2 linked regions of the Daphnia pulex genome follow. The protein of the gene in region 2 interacts with the protein of the main gene of each other region in a pairwise test. Links are inferred from orthologs where the notes say so. Each region holds a gene or a part of one and is shown on either strand. Other genes may lie near its edges.

Region 1 (3,819 bases), on a different chromosome or scaffold from region 2:
GTCTAAAATCCAATGTTTTCTTGAAGTAAATTTATTTCGTCATTATGCACTTACTTTTAACACGCAGTCGGCGAGCGAATGTAAACTAAACCTCCTTTTCCGGAAGCGCAATTTGGGTTTCAATAAGGAAGGGCTGAAAAAAAAAATTAATGGAATTCAAGATAGTTCTAACTAAAAATTAACAAATAATTTAAAAAAAAATTCCAACGTAATTTTTTCTGGATTTTTAACTCATCCGGAGATATTTCAGTTTCAACAGAGATAGACCGACAAGCTTTGAGTGCTTTGAGGTCTTTTTATCAACCATTTCACGGTAATTAGACTACGTATATATTAAATAAAGGTTGCCCTTCCCGCTTCATGAATCCGAAGAGATCTTATTTATTCTTTATCAGATTAAAAACAAGTTTCGTTGATGGATGACGGCACATTCATGAAGTTGTATTCAAGACGTTTTCAACACTCGGTTGATGACCTTGTCCGCTAGGACACACCGTGATTGCCCGCCGGATAGGAAGAAGGATAAGAGCAATAGGGCATAGGGAAATTGTCGCCAGCATGGTTTTTAAACTCATAAAAAAAGAAAAATTGCGCAATTATTTAGAGAGAGAAAAAGGAATTACTACTAGATGATGAAAAAAGAATTGTATTTATTTATATCCTAACTAGCATGATTCACAGATTTTTAATCAAAATCCAGCTTCTTGGAAATAGTTTTTTTAAACTATGAAATTACTAAGAAGTGAACTAGAAGCAAATTTTGACTGAAATTGGTTTCATCTTATTCAAGGCTTTCACCACATTCGAAACGCAAAAAACCTTTGATATCCCATCCCACATGAGACATAACTTCCCGTACTGTGAATTCAGGATAAGCAAGAAATTCTTGATGATATAGAGCTGATTCTTCGTCACTTGATGATTTTTCTTTTTTTTCTTCGCTTGGTAATTTTTCCGTTTTTTCTTCGCTTGACGACTGTTCCGCTTTTTCATCACTGGGTGGTTTTTCTGCTAGCTCTTCTTCTGGCAATTTATTTACCTTTTCAATGGTTCGGGGATTCATTCCTTTGATCAGGGGAAGACAACGTTAAAGTTATTAAATTACAAATTCAAACTAACATATTATACCAATGATATGCTGACACAGTTGCTTAGGAAGCTTTTCTAAATCAATAATTTCAGACAATTCTGGTGTTTCAACCGAAGGAGGGCATTCTTCATAGGCAAAGACGGCTGCATATTTGCCTAGGAATGATTCACCCAACACCTGCTGTGGATGGGTACAAGATGAAAACCTATATTAAAGAAAAATGAACAATGAGGAGAGCTTCCACAGGAAAAGTAACACCGCCGATTACTTGATATTTGAACTGGTTGCGCAAAGAGCTGCAGCTCGACGCACAGCCATATTCTCACCAATGAGTCCAATATTAAGTGCCAACAAGTCAGAAAGTTTAGAATTTTTACTGTCATTCAATTGCAATGATCCCAACTGCTCAGAATCAAATCCTAATTTAACTAAACTTGATTCCTATAGGAAAATAGTTTTATTTTAACTGAATGTTTAAAGTTTTTGCTAAGAACAAATCTTACTTGAGTAGTGTCTAGTGCAGAAACTGTGGCTAATGACTTTTTGAAACAAGTTTCTGTAATTTGTGCTACAAGGGTTTGAAATTTCTCATTTTTTGAAACAAAATCTGTTTCACAGTTTACTTCCACCTAGAAAGAAAATCATGTTAATTGAATGATGAGTAAGAAATTTGTTATTTCTTACCATAACGGCACACTTTGTATCTAGTCTTATTCCTACAAGTCCGTTTGGAGTAGATCTACTCTGTAGTTTTGCTGCTTTTGCCCATCCTTGAGCTTGAGCTTGCGAATTAAGCCATGTTTCTGCCTTCATTAAATCATTTTAATAATTTGTCACTCTAATGAAAATTCCACTCACATACCTTTTCAATATCGTTGTTGTTCATTTCTAATGCTTTTTTACAATTTGTTATAGCATAACCGGTTTTTTTTCGCAATGTTGAGAGTAAAGATTGATTAGCTGTCATTACTTTGCTGGAGTGGAAAGAAACAATAGAAGTGTGGTGAAATAATCGGCGGAATAACATTTTATTTATGAGTTTAAAGTTCAAACTTAATATTGGTTTACACCGATTACACAATTAAACGGATGTCAGGACTGATTCTATTTGATTTGTCAAGCAAATTCGCCAAAACTTCGTCTGCTTCCCTGCTGCCTCATGGACTACTATCGACTGCATGTCGACTGTATCGATATCGATAGTATAGTCAAATTGTGCCCAAAAAGTGGGTATACCCCAAACAAATTATTACCTGAATTTTTGTTCGTGAGCACTGTGTGTACTATAAAAATGTAGTTATTTTTAAAATACTAGTTAAAACTATCGTGTAGAACATGTATAAATCGTGATTTGAAATGTTATTTCCCGTGTAAATATCCTTTCTTGTTGAAATAAACCATTTAAAAAAATATTAAATTTTAGAAAATCTTTCATTCTATAAGTACCCAACTTTTTGTGCAGTTATAACGATATTTAGTATTTAAAAAAAAATTAAACGTAAAACCCAATATTTTGGGTGCATCTCACAGTGACGGAATCGCACTAGTAAAGGTGGCCATAAATAACAGCTTTTTTTTTTTGCTCATAAATATATAGTGTTGAAAGTAAAGTGTTTCATTAGTAAAATATATCACTAATAATTTGATTGTTTAGTAACTCGAAAAAGTACCCATTAATAACTAGTTCTTTAAGTAAAATGTCTCATAAGAACGAAGTTCTTGTGGTTCTTGTATCATAAGAACTTCGTTGCATTGAAAAATTGTCTCACTAGTATTTCTGTTCACAAGTAACATCAGGTTAGGTTAGGTTAGGTTAGGTTAGGTTAGGTTAGGTTAGGTTAGGTTAGGTTAGGTTAGGTTTGGTTAGGTTAGGTTAGGTTATAAAATTGGTAATTCCCTAATCACAATCACGGCGAAGCCGTGAACATCATATTATTATCATCCACGGCGAAGCCGTGAACGTCAAGTTATTATCAATCACGGCGAAGCCGTGAACATAATTTTATTATTATCCACGGCGAAGCCGTGAAATTAAATTCGGTATCATCCACGGCGAAGCCGTGAAATTTACATTCGGGATCATCACGGCGAAGCCGTGAATATCATACTGGATCATAGGGGGTGTTACTGTTGATGCCTGTTACTAACGAGACGTTGTCGTTATACTACAAAATACTACTGTATCACTTTCCCTTTTCACACGAAATTTTGAAAAAGAATTATGAAACAATTTACTATTGACCATTTGTTGGTATGAAATAAATAAATTATTTAGAAAATTTTGATTTTCTTCCGAACGGTATTATTTGAGATACGTTTTACTAGTGATACACTGTAGCCATTTTCAATTTTACTTGTGATACAAATTACTATAGTACGATACTTAAGCGCCTTTTTACTACTGCGATTCCGTCATAGTGCTACGCACCGAATATTTTCCCCCGCGAAAAAGTGTTTCCGTATTTAACACAGCCGCTTATGGGAAAATGGTTTTTTTTTAAAACAGTATTTACATGACATCTTAGCACATAGAAATCCTTCCTTGGGTTCATTTTATAGCTAAAGAGTCATTCTATCTTATTCATTTATATTTATTCAAAAGGGGACATTCGTTTAGAAGTTATAACCGATATTCTAGGCCCTAATTTTGCATATTTTCCAAGTGTTTTGCATTAGTGAGTAACACACCCGCTTGGTGGTGATTAGCACAGCCGCTATCCGCTAGAAGG
Region 2 (4,388 bases):
AGGATCGCCAAAGGCTACTATAGCGGACTCGGGGACGAGCTCACTAGTTAATATGACTGGTCAATCATCGTTCAGCTGGATGCTACTTATGCTCATTTTTATTCAAACAATGCATGCCAAATGTTTTTGAGAAGTCGTTTGTTCAGAACTCAATAAAAATAAATTAAAGGCACAAAAAATGGTGGAAAAAGTCCCATTGATTATCCAAATTTTTATCCGGCATTGGCAGTTATTTGGAAAAGGTATAATATGAATCCTTCAATATTATTTTGAAGCAATATTAATGTAATTCACTGCAACGTTACATAATGGCTATGTTTTAATGTAATCATCAATAGCTGTCATACCTAACTATGTCGCAACTTGATTTGATTGAACTTGTGGAAAAATTTCTGTGACCTCAAAACGAAAAGAAATATAAGATGAAAGAAACACGATGCAAAATGTAAACAAAGAAAAATACTGACAATAAGGTAGCCTACCATTGACAAAATAAATAAAAATTATTGTTGGATCCAAACCTAAGGCATCAACTTCCCCTCCGATTTGCTGAGTGTAGCCGAGTGAAGCAGGGTCGTTGTACTTTTCAAAACAAAAAAAAATAAATAATTTATAGATAAAAGTAACTAACTATGAAAAAAAAAATTAAAAAGGAAGAACAACAGAAGCAATGCTCATGCGAATGGATGACGTACATAAGTTTTAAAGAAAAAAGTGAACTGATTCTGTTCACAAAGGAGACAAATACCTGACTTTCATTATTAAATCTTGATATTCTATTACATAACGCAAGGTTAGGTTATACCGGATAACACAAAGAACTATAAAAAAATAATTCATGGCTCGTAATAAAGGCGACGATCCCTGCTCGAAGAACTATATAACCCAAGACTGGAAAGAAGTTAAAAAAAAAATATATATTTTCTAAAGATTTGTATTCATACAACTGAAATTCAAATCGAATTACCAATTAGTCGACCACAGTTATTTTGTCCAGAGAATCTCCTTTAACTAAATTGGCATCACTCAATTTCTTGGTGATGATGCCGGTCGCAACATTGTAATTGTTTTCTCTGATCGTGAAAGTTTGTCCGGGTTCGACGGCCATTCGCTTGAGCAAGGTGAGGTTGACGACGGAGTGATCTCCTGGCATAAGCATGTCTTTGTCACTCGGCATATCCACCCGCACAGCTAAATTCCATGTTGCACTAAAGATTTGTTGAATGTAGCCTGAGATGACCGGACGGCTACGGCCTCCTTCGCCTCGCGTTAACAGGTACAGCTGAGCTTGGTAACGATTGCCAATTGTTGCACTATGGGCGGCCACCAGCATCATACCTCGCTGGACCCGATCCAGTTTGATGGAGCGCAGTAAGAGACCAACGTTTTCACCAGCTTCTGCAAAGGGCACTGACTTCCGAAACACCTGGACGTCCGTCACCACTGTTTTGATGGCTGAATTATGCCCCAAGAGTTCGGTTTCATCACCTTTCTTCAGCGTTCCCTTCTTTATAGTTCCCGTGACCACAGTCCCTCGGCCAGGTACGGTGAATGCGCTGTCAATTGCCATCCAGAACGGTGATGTGACGTCTCTTTGAGGTGTAGGAACATATTCGTCGATGGCTGCTAGTAGTCTCCTAATGGATGGGACGCCCATTCTACTCTCATCGCCTTTCAATGCCAACAAAGCTGAGCCGCAAATTACTGGAGTTGCTATGCCGTCGAAGCCGAAATCGGAAATTAATTCCCGCATTTCGATCTCCACCAATTCGGTCATTTCGCTGTCAGCTATATCAGCTTTATTGATAAACACTACTAGATGCTTCACGCCAACTAAACAAAAAAGAAACAGAAATTCTTGGAATTCTATTGAATTAAATCCATACAAAACATCGATTTTACCCTGTTTCGCAAGTAAAAGGTGCTCTCTAGTTTGAGGCATCTGGCCGTCTGTCGCAGCAACTACCACGATGGCTCCATCCTATTGTTCAAGAAATCTATACTCAGAATCCTATAATTATATAGATACATGATTTTTCGAAGGTTCTGATACCATTTGGGAAGTTCCAGAAATCATGTTTTTGATAAAGTCGGCATGGCCAGGACAGTCTGTATGAGCGTAGTGTCTATTTTTAGTGGAATATTCCACGTGAGCGATGTTGATTGTAATGCCTCGTGCCTTTTCTTCTGGTGCTTTGTCAATCGCATCGTATGACACATACTTGGCCAACCCATCCTTCTGCAAGACTTTGGTGATAGCCTATTTGTATTAATGGTCAACAGTTATTAGGATTTAAGTATATATTTTTTTATAAAAAAAAAATAATAATACCATACCGCAGTCAGTGTTGTCTTTCCATGATCTACATGGCCAATGGTGCCAATATTGGCATGAGGTAAGTTGCTAGACTGAGCATTATGGGCTTCAGTTTTGCTGAATTGAGGTGATGATGATGTCAATCTGTAGACAAAGACACAGTTAATGTAATGCAAACAAATATAGTTCATGCTCTTTTAATGAATTTACAAACTAAGACATTACATTTTGTAATGTTTGTTAAATTTAACAAAAACACTATCTGAAAGTTAAATCATTAAATATTTGGATTCGGTAAAGTAGCCTATGCATGAAAATCCATGAATTGAAGAAAGAAATCATCTTTTAAACCGCTTTACCTTTGAATTAATAATCGCGATAGCATCGGCGTTCTTAGCAAAGAATGTGATCTCAATAAAGGTAGTAATCGTATACTACATGAACACATTTTGCGTACAACAGTAGTAGCCACCATTTTCTATCAAAAATTATACAAGATCGTTTTTAACTTTAACAATCACAAAAGTTCGGTGCGAGAAACAGCATAAAGTTATACAATGCTATATTATTATTAATAAATAACGAGAATAATTAGTCAATGAAAATGATAACTATAATGTAAATGAAAAGTTCGCTCAAAGTCAAATCCGTGAAAAAAAGAAAAAGTCAAAAACTTGTTAACCAATGTTTTTCTTTTCTATTTTTCGATCAACCCATAATTCGTCTGCATCTGCCCAACATTGTAAAATTTATTATTCCTTCAGGCGGTTGTTGCAACACGGGTTGCAGTGAGCGAGCTCAGGCGGGGGTGAGCGCGTACACGGCACCCTATTTCCAGCGTTCCTAGCGGCGGAGGGCCGCAACTCGTGTTTTGACGTTTGGCCAGGCTTTGATAAAAACGCTCACCCCCGCCTGAGCTAGCTCACTGCTGCATTTTAAATTTCAACAGTGCTTTGAAATTGTTACTTTTTGTCTTCGTGTTTGGCGAAGATGACATCCTGCATCTGCGATCTAAATAGCTACTTAAAAAAATAGGTAAAACTGCGAAACGACTCTTTTAGTCTTTTTTCCGTATTTTCGTAAGTAGCTCTAGCCATTAAAAGGTTTCCCCACCTAGGTTTTCCTCGTTCTCGCCTTCAATTTTTCTGTGTTATTTAATTTGATTTGTCTTTTACAACAAAAACTTAGTATGAGGGTAAAAATGAAAACAGAAGTGAGCTAGCTTTGGCGGGGGTGAGCGAGCTCAAGCGGGGGTGAGCGAGCTCAGGCGGGGGTGAGCGCGTAAACGGTACGGTACCCAGAGCGGCTAATGAATAGATAGAGAATTTAATTTACTTAAACATACTGAAAATTGAATAAGATCCTACGATATAAAGGTACTTACAAGGCCGAAAACTACACTTTTTCTGGCATTACAATCTGGGTATAAAATTTCATAAATTATTAAAAATTTTAAAACTCAACAGAAAAGAGTTAATTTTACATATAAATGACCGCATCGTCAGGGGCTTACATCTCGTCTGAAATTTAATAAATTCTTGTCAGGGAAATCTGCCGAAAATGAGGCTGAAGGTGATTTTCTTGGAATTTTAGCCGCCAAGAAGCTGGTTTTATTTAAATTTAGTGGTAAATAGCTAATCAAAAATAGTTTTAATTAGTGAAAAGATAGACAATATGAAGGACAACAACATACTGAAAATTGAGCAACTTTCTTTGGCTTATAAGGTACGAATAGGGGTAAAAACGCCAGCCGCAGAGCGCGCGCGGAAGTAAAAATTCTTTGGCCGTCGATTACGCATACGTGTGTACATATTATGCTGATTCTGAATGCATATTTCGATTCAGCGTAAAAAGTTGAGTTTATGATGTAATTTTCATTCATTTTGACCGTAGCCTTGGCAAACGTCAAAATTAAATACAATATGAATTCTTAATAAAAATTTTTATGAAAAAATTACCTAGGACTTTTAAACAACGGCAAAGAATTTTACCAAAACAGAAGGAAAACAATATTCGTCTGCAAAACCCTTCGTAGCCTTGGTGCAGTGCAGTAGTTTATCCGCTAGAGGCA

Evidence for each region.
Region 1: the proteins of elongation factor Tu, mitochondrial-like (region 2) and elongation factor Ts, mitochondrial-like interact in a two-hybrid assay, tested with the Drosophila melanogaster proteins (2 studies listed by BioGRID). The link is inferred for Daphnia pulex from reciprocal best matches to the Drosophila melanogaster genes mEFTu2 and mEFTs.

What each region holds. Positions count from the first base shown.
Region 1 is NC_060025.1:6,704,563-6,708,381, forward strand, and holds elongation factor Ts, mitochondrial-like, read right to left. Parts: upstream 2,262-3,819; 5' UTR 2,118-2,261; coding exon 1,953-2,117; intron 1,898-1,952; coding exon 1,775-1,897; intron 1,720-1,774; coding exon 1,594-1,719; intron 1,532-1,593; coding exon 1,359-1,531; intron 1,296-1,358; coding exon 1,129-1,295; intron 1,066-1,128; coding exon 782-1,065; 3' UTR 631-781; downstream 1-630. UniProt on the Drosophila melanogaster protein: Associates with the EF-Tu.GDP complex and induces the exchange of GDP to GTP. It remains bound to the aminoacyl-tRNA.EF-Tu.GTP complex up to the GTP hydrolysis stage on the ribosome.
Region 2 is NC_060026.1:7,179,654-7,184,041, forward strand, and holds elongation factor Tu, mitochondrial-like, read right to left. Parts: upstream 3,086-4,388; 5' UTR 2,793-3,085; coding exon 2,677-2,792; intron 2,462-2,676; coding exon 2,338-2,461; intron 2,261-2,337; coding exon 2,054-2,260; intron 1,982-2,053; coding exon 1,903-1,981; intron 1,834-1,902; coding exon 971-1,833; 3' UTR 968-970; intron 892-967; exon of another isoform or gene 877-891; 3' UTR 754-876; downstream 1-753. Other genes in the region: uncharacterized protein LOC124204205, read left to right, coding at 3-130.